Mytilus edulis: one gene and its partner. The protein of the gene in region 1 purifies or fractionates together with the protein of each later gene. This does not show direct contact. Links are inferred from orthologs where the notes say so. Each region holds a gene or a part of one and is shown in the gene's direction. Other genes may lie near its edges. The genes, in order: tyrosine-protein kinase CSK-like and leupaxin-like.

What was found.
Region 2: the proteins of tyrosine-protein kinase CSK-like (region 1) and leupaxin-like purify together in Homo sapiens (affinity purification with mass spectrometry; 4 studies listed by BioGRID and IntAct, with this or other methods). This does not show direct contact. The link is inferred for Mytilus edulis from reciprocal best matches to the Homo sapiens genes CSK and PXN.

Annotation. Positions count from the first base shown.
Region 1 is NC_092347.1:54,622,866-54,630,613, reverse strand, and holds the start of tyrosine-protein kinase CSK-like, read left to right. Parts: upstream 1-4,718; 5' UTR 4,719-4,847; intron 4,848-5,188; exon of another isoform or gene 5,189-5,297; intron 5,298-7,748. UniProt on the Homo sapiens protein: Non-receptor tyrosine-protein kinase that plays an important role in the regulation of cell growth, differentiation, migration and immune response.
Region 2 is NC_092349.1:36,798,306-36,806,159, forward strand, and holds the start of leupaxin-like, read left to right. Parts: upstream 1-4,477; 5' UTR 4,478-4,742; coding exon 4,743-4,779; intron 4,780-7,854. UniProt on the Homo sapiens protein: Cytoskeletal protein involved in actin-membrane attachment at sites of cell adhesion to the extracellular matrix (focal adhesion). Recruits other proteins such as TRIM15 to focal adhesion.

The DNA of each region.
Region 1 (7,748 bases):
TTCTCTGTTATTATGTATATATATGGCGAATCTAAATAAAATTTACTCACCTACTTACTTACTTACTTAAGATCACTTTGTCTAAGGTCAAAGACTATATTACTGTCTAAAACCATAACAGACATGAATCATAACTGAGATAAACAGTAAAAACAGTGTATGTCACAAGGTATAAGCTTTTCCCTGTATTCACTATTTTCGGAGTAGGGTATATGTGGTATTGCTCCTTTTTTCTTGTGTATATATATATTATAAGTGGCTAAATGATAAGTGTGATGAGCAAACATCCAGTTCTATTTCTCTTTAGTGTATTAATATTGTAATTCCAGAAAGGGGACCCGTAGGAAATGAACAACTATGTCCATAAAATGGGCTCACAAGGAGCATAATATAATATAATAATAATGTTATTCTTTTACAAATATAATAAACATTACAGTATGAATAGTTAAAAACACAAATAAGAAACAACAGTTTTCATTTATTAGTATATATATAAAACCTTCGTCTCAGACACACCTCTAGAAAGTAACAAAAAGAATACTGTGAGTAGGCTAAATATATGTTAAAAAGTCTATATATGCTGATAAATTGTTGAAAATCACAATTATACGGACTTTTTTCTAAACGCTTTCAGATATTGGGCTGATTTTTGGTATGTAAGTTACTCGTGATGAGTTACAGATCAACAATAGGTTTCGTTCCGCTCGGCTAATTTTTGCTGTAATTTCGCCGGGGCTTTGAACTTTGATAAATATTTGAAAATCACAATTATACGGACCATTTTTCTAAAGGCTTTCAGATATTGGGTTGATTTTTGGTAAACATGATGAGTTACAGATCAAGTATAAGTTTCTTTCCGCTCCACTAATTTTTGCCAAAATTAAGGGTTTACAACTTTGAAAAATGTTGAAAAGTCAGTTATATGGACATTTTTCTATACGCCTCCAGATTTTGAGCTGATTTTTCATATGTGACACTACCATCATGGTTGTGTCCACATGTATTATTGAAATTGTAGATTTTTCTCAACTTTTTGAGACGGGGCCATTCGTGTCGCTTTGACACATCTAGTTAAAGATAAGTTGATGAAAGAGTTTTTAAAGATAATTTGGTTAAAGAGCTTTTAAAGATAATTTGGTAAAAGAGTTTTTAAAGATAATTTGGTAAATGAGTTTTTAAAGATAATTTTGGCCATGTTTTAAATAGATTTTGCCTATTCATATATAGAAAGATACATTATCATCTTCGCTAGCTATACGATCCGGTCTCCCGGCTAATATGTTCCGACACACTTTGTAGACGATACTTAGTTTACAAATAAAACATTCACTTTTTAAAATTCCTAACCATGTTGAAATAAAACAACAGTTTTAAAAGAACTTTATTCGTGTTATTTACCCAAAAAAAGAAATATGAGGCAGGCATTTATACGGGAACTTCTTAGGAAGAAAGATAAGAAGTTAGCAATCCTTTGATACTTTACTTTCCGCTATATAGATCATGTTCTCTCGCTAAATAATTCTAAATTTGGTGTCAATGTTGAACGCATCTATTCCATCCAACTAGAGATAAAGGATACAACGGATACAATTAAGTCTGCCTCATATCTTAACTGACAATTAGAAATTGACAATGAGGGTCGGCTGAAAACAAAATTTTACGACAAAAGAGAAGATTTCAGCTTCCCAATTGTAAACTTTCCATTTCTATGTAGCAACATTCCAACAGCGCCTGCATACGGAGTATATATCTCCCAATTGATACGACGTTCCCAGGCTTGTATTTCCTACCATGATTTCCTTGATAAAGGGTTGCTGCTCACAAGGATGCTATCAAACCAAGCCTGAGTTCCAAATGGTAACGTTGAAATCATCCCTTCGTAAATTTTACGGACTGCATCACGAATTGGTTGACCGTTATAAAATTACAGTTTCACTGTTATATCGCATAAAGTCCTTATGTCATTACTATAATCGCCTTCCCTTTTCACGAATGTGACCTACCGAATTTTACTATTTACCGATGTTGGAATAACATGAGCAACACGACGGGTGCTACATGTGAGCAGAATCTGCTTATCCTTCCGATACACCTGAGATCACCCCCAGTTTTTGGAAGGGTTCGTGTTGCTTAGTCTTTAGGTTTTTTTATGTTGTGTCTTGTGTACTTTCATTTGTCTGATTGGCTTTTTTCTCATCACTTGGCGTCCGTCGTCCGTCGTCGTTAACTTTTATAAAAATCTTCTCCTCTAAAACTACTGCGCCAAATTTAACCAAACTTGGCCACAATCATCATTTGGGATCTAGTTTAAAAAATGTGTCCGGTGACTCGGCCAACCAACCAAGATGGCCGCCATGACTAAAAATAGAACATAGGGGTAAAATACAGTTTTTGGCTTATAACTCAAAAACCAAAGCATTTAAACCAAATATGACATGGGGGTAAAATTGTTTATCAGGTGAAGATCTCTGCCGTGAAATTTTTAGATGAATTGGACAACCCATTGTTAGGTTGATGCCCCTGAATTTGTAATTTTAAGGAAATTTTGCTGTTTTTGCTTATTATCTTGAATATTATTATAGATAGAGATAAACTGTAAACAGCAATAATGTTCAGCAAAGTAAGATTTACGAATAAGTCAACATGACCAAAATGGTCAGTTGACCTCTTTAGGAGTTATTGCCCTTTATAGTCAATTTTTAATCATTTTTCGTAAATCTTTATACATGTAGTAATCTTTTAGAAAAATCTTCTCTGAAACTACTGGGCCGAATTAAACCAAACTTGGCCATAATCATCATTGGGGTATCTAGTTTAACCAAGATGGCCGCCATGGCTAAAAATAAAACATATGAGTAAAATGCAGTTTTTTGGCTTATAACTCAAAAAGCAAAGCATTTAGAGCAAATCTGACAGGAAGTAAAATTGTTTATCATGTAAAGATCTATCTGCCCTGGAATTTTCAGATGAATCAGCTAACCAATTGTTAGGTTGCTGCCCCTGAATTGGTAATTGTAAGATAATTTTGCTCTTTTTGGTTATTACCTTGAATTCTATAATAGATAGAGATAAACTGTAAACAGCGTACAGCAAAGTAAGACCTAAAAATAAGTCAACACGACCAAAATAGTCAATTGACCCTAAGGAGTTATTGCCCTTCATAGTCAATTTTTTACAATTTTCATAAAATTTGTAGATTTTCACTAACATTTTCCACTGAAACTACTGGGCAAAGTTCATTATAGATAGAGATAATTGTAAGCAGCAAGAATGTTCAGTAAAGTAAGATCTAAAAAACACATCACCACCACCAAAACACAATTTTGTCATGAATCCATCTGAGTCCTTTGTTGACCAAGGTGAACGACACAGGCTCTTTAGAGCCTCTAGTTTAGCCATGGCGTTGCCAGTTTTTTTTTTTTTTGATCTATGAGTTTGACTGTCCCTCTGGTATTTTTCACCCCTCTTCTTGAAAAACATAACTCAACTCTGTTATTTAAAATATCACATAAATACTATCCAACAAAGAATCTTTGACCAGGCTTATCAAATTATGAATTGTTCTATCAATAAATGTGAAAAAATAAATTTCTTTTGTCATACTAAAAGAATTAGAAAAAGGCCCACATTTATTGATATATGTAAACTCAAAACTGACCGATCAGTTTTCAGTAAATTTAAACTAAGTGCCCATTCCCCAGCAATTGAAAGAGGGCGTTATACCAACATTGAAAGAAGTAAACGCATTTGCTTATCCTGTAACAGACAAAGAATTGAGGATGAATATCATTTCTTCTCAATCTGTCTATGCTATACATCATTGAGGGATACCTATATACAAAATATTAATAAAAATCTTAATTTTAATCTTATTATTGATATTTAAAATAAATTGCAGTCCGCTAAAACACTGAAGCATTTGACTGCAATTTTAAATAGCAGTCTACCAGTCATTAAAAAAATCACCATAAAGTATATTAATGATTGTTTTTTTTATTGAGAACATTTGTATAACATGTATTTCTTTTAATATGCAACCTAATTTTTGTTTGTGTTCTTTTTTCTAATTGTTCATGAACATTAATAATGTGTTAACTGTTGATCTTTATAGTCTTTTTTCTTCGCTGTCACTCTAATATAATTATAATCAATTTAACTATTGTCAGTTTATTGTCTTAATTTTGTATGCCATAACCATTTAATGTAAATGTGTTTGTGCTAATAAATATTGTCTATTTAAAACAAGCATGTTACATCACTTTTGTCTATTGGGTATACCTATATATTATATTTGTTGTTCTATATGTATTTTTTAATCATAAAATATCGTACTTACATTTGTTTTAACAAGATAGTCGGATCAATTGGACCCGATGATAGACAATTGTGTGCGACTGTAAACAATTTATCAGTGCTATGTGAAAACATTTGAAATTTTCGCTATAGTATATTGTCCTCCCTGTATCATATTTTGATATTGCATGCCTTTAAAAATGCCACAATCACCATTCCAATCATTACATACGTCGTCGATGAGAAATTAAAGCAATGTATATACATGTATAATATTGTATAATCATATAAAATCATTATTATAAAAAAAACTAAATTATAAAACGTCATTTTGTTCCGTGATATTATAAAAGTGTTGCCTTTTCCGACTTTTATCCAAAATATCAGATGATGTATTTAAGTCTAGCGAAGTTAAATGTCTATGATAACAGTTATATTGTGCGATTTGACTTTAATAATCTATTTTAAAAATGCTTCCTTGTTTGACAGACGGTTTTATTTCCCACAAGGAAGTCAATTCCCTCATTCATTTCGGGAAATATGTCTTAGTGGTAAGTATTTGATGGTATCAGAGATTTTTTAAACAGAAAAGCGACAATTTGTTAACCTCTGACTTGAGCTGCGATCTGGGATCAAAACTTATATTAGTTACAGTTGCAACTAATACTGTAGTGTAATTTGAGTTTCATGTCTCATGATTTCATTGTAATTTCAAAAAAAAAGAAAACAATTGACTTTTTCAGTACACGTCTATCTTGATGTTGGGTTTAAAAAATAGTTTCGACATTAAGTGTGAGGATTCAGTTTACAAAAAGGAGCTACATCCATTTCTGAATTATTTGTTTTATATATGCCAAATATGGTTTTGGTAACATTTTTTTAAATTAGAGTTATCTAACTTTTAAACATAGAGGGCGATTTTTGTTGAAAGAAAAATGGCAGCCACTTTTTGCTTCCTGTTTGATAAAAAAATGAAGAAATTGCTTTTCTTTTACAATTAGGTAATTATAAATCCCACATTGACGAAAATAAAGTAGATTTTTAATATTTTTTAAATCAAAGTATTAAGCTACCATATTGCTACATTATTGATGTAGGTCAGACATTACGGTATAACATTGAAGTACTGACTACTGTTTTTGATCGCCCTTTTGCCGTAAATAATAGGTGAATTAAAATGATCTATGTAATTCTGACTAATCTCGTAAACATTTAAAGATCTATACTCTCTTTATGTTTGTAACTCTTTGATGTAAATGGCAGTTTTCTGTCAAATGTCAATGACAAATTTTGTTTACTTTCCAAACCATGCCATGGCTATGCATAACACAAATTTCTGTAAAATTATAGTGCAGATATGATAAAACACTTTCAAGTTAAGTCATTCTCTGCAAATGTTTGTCAATTAGACACGCCTTTATGACATCTTTTTACCAGATAGAGGGGACCACTGCTGACCATGAACCATGCACTAATCACAATTCCCTTATGACAGCAGTGCTGATTATCAATTACCAATAAATTTGTGCAATATTATATACATGTAGCATCATTTGTTGTCAACTGCTCGCTCAACATGTAGAGGGAGTGACAATGCACTGCAAGAATGATGTCCCCTACGTATACATTTGTACATCCAAAGTTAATAACAGAAATACAACAAGCTCAAAAGTGTATTATTGTATGAGGCAGGTGTTTAATCTTGTGAAAGAGGACCAAGTCTTATCGCATTTGCATTGTATAGTTGTCATTATTCTTTTTTGGTTAAACGGATTATAAAATTATAAATTTGAGGGAAATTGTTTCACTTACAAATGTACAACATGACAGCACCTGTTAAAAGAGCAGGGATGGGATAATATGCAAGAACTACTGTAAGAAAAAAAAGTTCACAATTTTGAATTCTGACATTAAAATATTGATTTTTTGACTAATTCTCATCTAATAAAGTTGAGAAGTACGTTTAAAATATTTCCTTCTATTCGGTTGTATTTATTTTACTTTAATAACTTATGTCAGGAAAATTCTATTTTACTTGTAGTTGCCTTTATAGTCCTATCACTTTAATACGACTATGCATTCCATTTTGACCGCCTAAGTTGTCTACTGGTAATCTGTTTGTGATTGAGATGCACATTGATAGAAAAAAACAGCAAATAGATAATAAAAAAGTAATAATTTGCAAATTAAGCATGTTTAGTAAAAAGAAATATCAGAAATCAAAAACAAAAAGAAAATACTGTTCCATTGTTTTAGGACTTTTCATACATTTAAAGCTTTATTTAAAAATTCAATTTCAAAACTTGACCACATTACAAATACCTTTGTATGATGATTCCTGTGTACTTCTTATATGAGGCAAATCAATAAATGGGTCATTCAAAATGGTATAATCAGTAAATCTGTAGCGTTTTCATTTTTACAACAGCAAATGCATATTGATGTTAAAAAATAAAGATAACAACTTTACCTCATTAGTTAAAAAGTAAAATCATAATAGTTATCTGAAGAATTCATCTTTTTTAGACCATGCAAATTATCAGGATTTTTATCAAATTCGGTTTGTCTTGAATTTGCTACTGAATACATGTATTTTATTTTATTATTGCATTTTTGTCATTTAAGACTAAAAGGTGATTTGAATTTTTGCGATATGAAGACAAATCCTGTTTGATTCATAAAAGTTTTAATTATTTCGATTATAAAACTTCTTGTCGCATTTTTCACAATAATAAAAAACATCACAATAATTTCTGAATTTATTTGTACAGTATTTAATTTTGGGGATTTAGTGGTTGCCACACGGTTTAGACTTCTCCATGACTTCTTGATGTTTTTTTTCTCTCTGTCTCTGTCTCTCTCTATCTCTAAACTGAGAACTTCTTGGCATGGGTTACTGAGCTCCAGAGATAGCACTGAGCATAAACATGAAATAATCTTCTGTGGAAGGCAACATATTTAAATGGATATCATTTTAATTACTCTGGAAATAACCATTCTACTCAATTCTTTGACTTTAAATAAATACTAAAAATGTCAACACGATGATGAATTACATGTATAAACATGATGTCAGAGTGAAATCTGATTAAATAGGGCCACCCTTAAAAAATTGTTTGTTTGGCATTGCCGACCCACACTATCAGCAGGTGGGTAGGTAAGTAGGGATTTTTTTTTTTTTTACATTTAAAAGCTTTATACATGTAAATCATGAAGTCTCTAGACCAATGTTGTCTAAAGCATTGCAGCATTGTTGTGTGTACATGCTGGTGGTTTCTTTGAACGGGGTCAACCGTCAATGTCACATTCTACATCATATGGATAATTTCATGTAAGACAGTCAGTTTTGTTGGCAGAGTTAACCAAAGGACCCAGAAAAAAACACAGAACTGAGGCAGGAAACTGACAAATTAACCATATAAAATGTACAATGTATGACGTGAAAATTGAAC
Region 2 (7,854 bases), on another chromosome or scaffold:
GGGGCAAGTATGGGCACAATATTTTAGCTTGATACAGCTCTGAATTTGGACTGTGATTAAATAGTTGACACAACATAGGTTTCTGACACAGAATGAATGTTGTCTGAGAACTTAAACTTAAAATTTTTAAATTGGACATTTACCTATTATGGTCAAATATCCAAAATCTTTTGGCCCCTAATTCCTAAACTGTTGAGACTAAAACTCCCAAAATCAATCCCAACCTTCCTTTTGTGGTCATAGACCTTATGTTAAAATTTCATAGATTTCTGTTTACTTATACTCAAGTTATTGTGTGAAAACCAAGAAAAATGCTTCTTTGGGCCCTTTTTGGCCCCTAATTCCTTAACTGTTGGGACCAAAACACCCAAAATCAATCCCAACCTTCCTTTTATGGTCATAAACCTTGTGTTTAAATTTCATATTTACTATTTACTTTTACTAAAGTTAGGGTGGGTAAACCAAATGTCTTCAGACGACGATGATAATGACACGACGCCAATGTGATACCAAAAAATTTTCAATTTTTGCGGTCATATAAAAACAGGGAAATAAATCTATTTTTTCTAAAAAAAATTCCTAGAATAGCCTCCCTTTACACACTTTATTTTTATTATTAAGAAATTCCTCCATAGTCTATAACCCTCTTTTACACATATCTTACTCCATTGTGTTGCATAACTCTTCTATCTGTATTATGCATAATGTAGCATAGTAATAAGTTCTTCATGATGAACTTTTAGTTTCAAGGTATTTAAATTTTTGCCCAAAACAGAAATGAGTTGATGATGATGGATCGATGGCTTTTTTTCAGGTATGATTTGAAATCAAATTTGTAATTATATATGATTACCTATATATATATAGCTAAAAGTATCATGAATATAATGTGGAATTTCTCTCTGTTTATGTACAGGTTGCATAAGGCCTCATATAATCCTGGTACCTTTGATAACTATTTACACCACTGGGTCGATGCCACTGCTGGTGGACGTTTCGTCCTCGAGGGTATCACCAGCCCAGTAGTCAACACTTAGGTGTTGACATGAATATCAATAATGTGGTCATTTTTATAAATTTTCTGTTTACCAAACTTTGAAATTTTTGAAAAACTAAGGATTTTCTTATTCCAGGCATAGATTACCTTAGCCGTATTTGGCACAACTTTTTGGAATTTTGGATCCTCAATGCTCTTCAACTTTGTACTTGTTTGGCTTTATAAATATTTTGATATGAGTGTCACTGATGAGTCTTATGTAGACGAAACGCGCGTGTGGCGTACTAAATTATAATCCTGGTACCTTTGATAACTAATTACATAACTATGGATTTCCTTATTTTCAAAATACAATAAAAAAAAAACAGTTCCAATGCCCCATGCTTTACAAATAGTTTATCTATCCAGGGAATAAGGGCAATGAATTTTAATTAATAACTTTTAAAGAGTTGAAGGCTTCAGAGCAAATGATTTCAGTTATAATTAATTTTCAAGGGGCAAAATATTTGATCAGACTTTAATTTCAAAAGTGTCAAAGACTTTGCTGATATAAACCAATGATGTTAGTTTCATAAAATTCTGGCAGTATTTGTACACATGAGAACTCTGACAATGCAATTTTCCATATACATGTAATCATTATTTTGAAGGGGCCTGCATGACTCTTTTAAAAATAATTGATCCATACTTATTTTCCAACTTTTCAACTTTAGACATTGCTGATATAAACCTATGATAATATAAAGTTTCATAAAAATTTGAAAAGAATGAAACACTCAAACAGGCATGGGAATGCTAGCAATGCAATTTTCTATATAATCAATGTTTTTGTGGGGCATTATACTCTTTTAAAAATTATTGATCAGCACCATGATTTTCAAAGTTGTCCAAATCATTGCTACATGTAATATTTATTTATGATATAAGTTTCACAAAAATCTGGTAAGAATTGTACAAATTAGAGCAACAATGCAATTTTTCATGTAATTGATGTTTCCATGGAGCATAACTCTTTTAAATATGTCTCTCTGTGATTAATGTAAGATAACTCTGGTCAATTTTCCGAACATTTTATCATTATGGGGAGATAACTGCAATTTACCCCGATGTTATATTTTTTAACCACAGCACCATGATGGTGGCCATGTTTTTGACAAAATAAAACACAAACTTTATTCTAGATATCATTTAGCTTAAGTTTGGTTGTAATTGGTTTTGTAGTTTCAGAGGAGAAGATTTTTCAAAGTTAGAAAACATGATAAACGAAATGTGTAAAATTGTCCTTAAAGGTGCAATCAAATAATTTTTTTTTTTTTAAAAAAAGGGTTTCATTGACAATTTTTACTTATTTGTAAAGCTTACTTTGCTGAACATTTTTGCTGTTTACAGTTTATCTTTATCATTAAAAATATTCAAGATAACGACCCAAAACTGCAAAATTTCCTTAAAATTACCAATTTAGTGGCAGCAACCCAACAATGGTTCAGTATTTTAGTGATTTTACTTTTTGAAAATTTCATGGCTGATAGAACTTAGCTTCATGCACAAATTGACCCAATGCAAGATTTGCTCTAAATGCATTTGTTTTTCAGATATATATAAGCCAAAAGCAGTATTTTAACCCTATGTTCTATTTTTAGCTATCATATGGCCATTGCAGCCATGTTTTTTGATGAAACAGAAAATAAAACATATATATACATTTACATTGACATAGACCTACATTGTACTTTAATTATTCTTGATACCCTAGGGATCATTCAGCTTGAGTTTGGTAGGAATTGGTTCAGTAGTTTCAGAAGAGATGATGTTTGGAATAGTTTACACCAGACTGATGACGACTGACTTCAAGTTCCTTTGGAACGGTGATCTAAAAATGGAACAAAATTATAAACAGACAATAGACAATATTTTATTCGCACAAACACATTTACATTAAATGGTTATGGCATACAAAATTAAGACAATAAACTGACAATAGTAAAATTGATTATAATTATATTAGAGTGACAGTAGTATTCACAGCGAAGAAGAAAAAGGCTATAACGAAATATCAACAGTTAACACATTGTTAATGTTCATGAACAATTAAAAAAAAGAACACAAACAAAAATTAGGTTGCATATTAAAATAAGTTATACAGATGTTCTTAATAAAAGACAATCATTGATATACTTTATGGTGATTTTTATAATGACTTAATTGTAGACTGCTATTTAAAAGTACAGTCAAATGATTTAGTGTTATAGTGGACTGCAATTTAATAAAATTGAAATTAAGATTTTTATTAATATTTTGTATATAGGTATCCCTTAATGATTTATAGCATGGACAGATTGAGAAGAAATGGTATTCATCCTCAATTTCTTGTCTGTTACAGGATAAGCAAATGCGTTTACTTCTTTCAATGTTGGTATAACGCCCTCTTTCAATTGCTAAGGGAATGCGCACTTAAGTTTAAATTTACTGAAAACTGATCGGTCGGTTTTGAATTTACATATATCAATATATGGGGGCCTTTTTCTAATTCTTTTAGTATGACAAAAGAAATTTAATTTTTCACATTTATTGATAGAACAATTCATATTTTGATAAGCCTGGTCATAGATTCTTTGTTGGATACTATTTATGTGATATTTTAAATTAAAAGTATTAAAAGTGAGATGACCAAAACCTAATTTATTTAACCAGTCTTTTACAATGTTAACCCATTTACTTGTTTTCTCTACATTATTATATATTTTATGGACTAAAGTGTTAGGCGAGTTTAAATGAAAAATTCTAAATATTGGGATGTAAAAATATAAAGACTATAGAATGACAGACAAAAAAGATAAATAACATAATTATAGAAACAACCTAAAAATTGAAGAATACTGTACAGATAGTGGGATATGAAGTACCTCCCCACCCACATCAGATTCACATATATATATATAACTGAGCAGAAGACCCACTAATTATAATCACTATAAATATTGGGAGAATCAGCACTACCAACACTAACTTTATTTTTTTATCTCTTCTAATGAAGATAAAGGTATACAGAAAGGTGAGACCAAAAAGGAAGTCTTCAAAAAAATAAATGCCTCGTAATTACCATCCTGGTTTTCTCATACACCCCCCTCTTTAAGATTTTCTCTCGTTATAAACAGTGTGTTTTTTTCTATACATCTCTCGTATGTTTGTGGTTCAAAACTCAGTACTTAGGAATCGTATTACCTGCTTATAGATTCTGAGTTGAAAACGTTACTTTAAAGATCTTATTTCGTTTGTTTCAGCACTTAAATCTGTCAAATTATATTGAAATCTGACACTTCAAAATAGAACTTTCGATGATTCATCCGAATCAAAACGAAACAGTAATTTTTACCAGAAGACATTGTGGTTGGAAGAATTAAAGTTGCACATTCTTCGATCTACACTCTTCTATATTTCCAAATATTTATATTCTAATCTTCTACAGTTTGGTGTAGGATCGGTTAGTGTTTACCTGTTCTAGTCAGGTAAACCGGAAGTGGGGATTTCATCAAGGAGGAAAATCGAAGGATTCTCTAAGAAAAACTTATTTTGACGAAACAATTAGAAATGTAGATAGTGCTTCCCTTCCAAATTGACTCTAATGAATCAAAATATCTTTACTTCACATTTTTTCCAATCTTTAAAGAAATTTGTGACCACTTTATAAAACCGGAAGTACCACAAGTGTCACTCTCAAGTCTTTCCACCGAAAAGTTTGTAGTTGATGCAAAGCTACAATCAGAGAGTAATGGATGATTTAGGTAAGACAAGCAGATGTATAACTGGTTAATTTTATTTGTGTGTAACTTTACTTTGACTATTTAGATTGGTAATGCATAGCAACATCATGAACAGAGATAATGATAGAAGTTCATAAAGTTCTATACAACTAATCATGCAAATAGGATGGGCACATTCATAGGCACTTGTTTCTCTCCTTTTGCAGGTCTATTATCCATATATATATTGATAGTCAACCCTTCCCATGCCGGATTTATCAATTGGAGTCAAAATTGGCGTACTTTCATGTCGAATAACGGTGCTAAATAAGTTAACAGTAATTTTTGTGCATGACTATAAGAAGTACACTGTATTTGAGTTCAGGCGAAAAAAAATCAACTGATTTTGAGGAATGAAGTCATTTTTTATCAAAGATATAAACATTAAAGATAATTATTTGAGATGAATCACAATACACCATGTACACCTTATCGCCAATTGTCCTCCATTACTGGACATGACACAGGCTCCCGTAAAATTTTGATGTCATAATACAAAATATCTGACGCCACAATTGAAAAGTGATTGTTGTATGACGTCAATAGTTCAAACTGCACAGATTCTCGGGTCAGCCATTAACAGGGATAAGGTGTTAAAGGATATTTTGACAAGTCACAGAAAAAATTGAATAATTTGATGCTAACAGTAGTCTAAAATAACCGTTTGATGCCTGACAGTGAAGAGCTTTACTACCCTAATGGACAGAAACCAGTGCTTGTGGGCACATTTCAAGAAATGAGATAATGTTAATGTTTTTTATATACGTAGATCTAGATCTACATGTACACAAATACATGTATATAGCATAGATGCCAACCATTACGATTTTTCCGTAGTTTTTCCGATTTTGCAATAAAAACTACCGGTACGCTATTACGGTCGAAGTTGAATAGTATACGGATTCCAAATCATCGCCGTTCAATTTTATAAAACGCAGATTTTTATCATTACTTTTCTGTTCTGGTCTGGTTTTTAGAAAACGCCAATGTAATGCTTCCGGTTTCTCGGGAGTTATCAACCTATTGTTGGGAACTAACTGACTTCCTAAGAGGCAAACTTGCATTTTATGAAGAAGCTATCCCCCTTTATTGACTTCTCCTTGACAAAACGAAAATGTACGAGTCGAGAACATCTGAACAATAAATGAATGGAATACATACTACAAACAACATGTTGAATGGCAAATTTTAGTGCACAACATTTTGCAACCACTCGTCAGTAATTTTTATTGGTAAATGCAAGTTTATGAATGATTACTGAAAACTTTTCAAAAATACGGAAAATTTGATAGTTTGTTACTGATTGTGTCGAATGGGGTTGGCATCTATGATATAGTTTTGACAGGTTTGGAAAGATAATCATAATTAATACATGTAGGTTAGGGTTAGTGTTCTTCATAGGTCTAGATATGATCAAGGATCCGGAAATTTTTTCACCTAATTTCGGTCATTTTCATATAACTTAAAAGTTGGCGCCCCTTTTAAAAAAATGATTGTCAAAATCACATTACTGCAAGAGACTCGTGATGTCACTGATGAGTATGCTCATACTCGTAGCTTCAACAAACTGTTGCATCGCATTTACTTCATGATTTATCCTACCATTTTCCTAAAATCGATCAAGAGCAATTAAGGGAAGGCAACAGTTTAAAAATAAAATGATTTTAATGACTCAAAACGATAATTTTCTCAGTCATCGCTTAGGTTTCTTTCGATTCTGAAGTCGAAATTCAAACCGGATGTAATGCGACAATACTAAAACGAACAATTCCGGGCTCATTTTCGGGATTAGGTTTGTTTATCAAATTCACAGGAAATCATCGGCTTTTTAATATTTACGAAGAATATCAATGAAAATAGTTGCACTTGCTTTATTTAGCATGAAATTATTTTAAATTTACGATTTAGTGTTAAATCTGCGGAAGAGAATTTCAAGCATGCGTATTATATAGTAAACAAAGCACGTGTGTTAGTAGTGAAAAAATATTTTTTTCTACGTAAAATAAATCAAGTTTTAATTTAATTTTAAATCATAATTGACAATTGTCTTAGCTGTTAAGTAATTAAAGAATGAAGCCAGTTTGTATGGAATTTTTATTACTTTATAATATTTGTTCGGAGCTTGTGATTAATAACCAGGTGTGAATTAAAAACACAGGTAAAGAGATAAGCGATCATTAGCCAATAGCTGCCCGAGGCATTACTATAGTTATTAGGAGGATTATAACACTTTACTGGAGTGGCAGTTTAATTACAGGAAATCGATAACAAACCAAAAATATGTTCAAAATGGCGATTTTGAAACTTGATCTCAACGAAATGACCGAAATTATTACTGTTGAAAAATAAAATTTGACCTAAATCCCAATTAAAAGTTTAGGACATTAAACTTTAAGTTTAGGACAAGACTGGCAAATATGACCGTTTCCGGACCCTTGGATATGATGTTGCTATTTGTATCACCTTATGAATATTTTCATCAGGGTTGCAGTGTGTAAATTCAGGCCTCGACAATAAGTGAATAACGCTTGTCCGATTGTCCGGTACCAGAGGGAAAAAAGGTCGGACAAGTAAAAGCTGTATCAAGCTTGTCCGTCGGGACAAGTACAATTATTCTGCAGAAAATACATTCATTCCAACTTTGATGAGCAAAGTAATTACAAACAAGAAACAAGAAAATAAATATTAATTTGACATGTTTCTGTATTCTGTTTATTCAAATTAAATGCAAAACCTTTTTCTTCAACATGTACATGTTTACTTGCAATTGATAATTTTTAACTGGTTCTTTGTCAGGTACTTTTTAAAGGGTAAAAGGTATACTATTCTTTGAATCCAGTCTTACTGATCCGAATCAATGATGTGCTTTGTAGATAAGGAAACTTTACAGGACAGTTCGTTACCTTGACAGGTTTAGCTCCAAGTTTAATAGACAGTTTGGCAATGTAGGAGACATATTTAGTAGACATGATTGAAAGACAGTTTGGCAAGGCAGGAGACATGCGCACCCCCCTTTATTTTTGCCGATCAATGCATTTGTATCGGGACATATGTTTT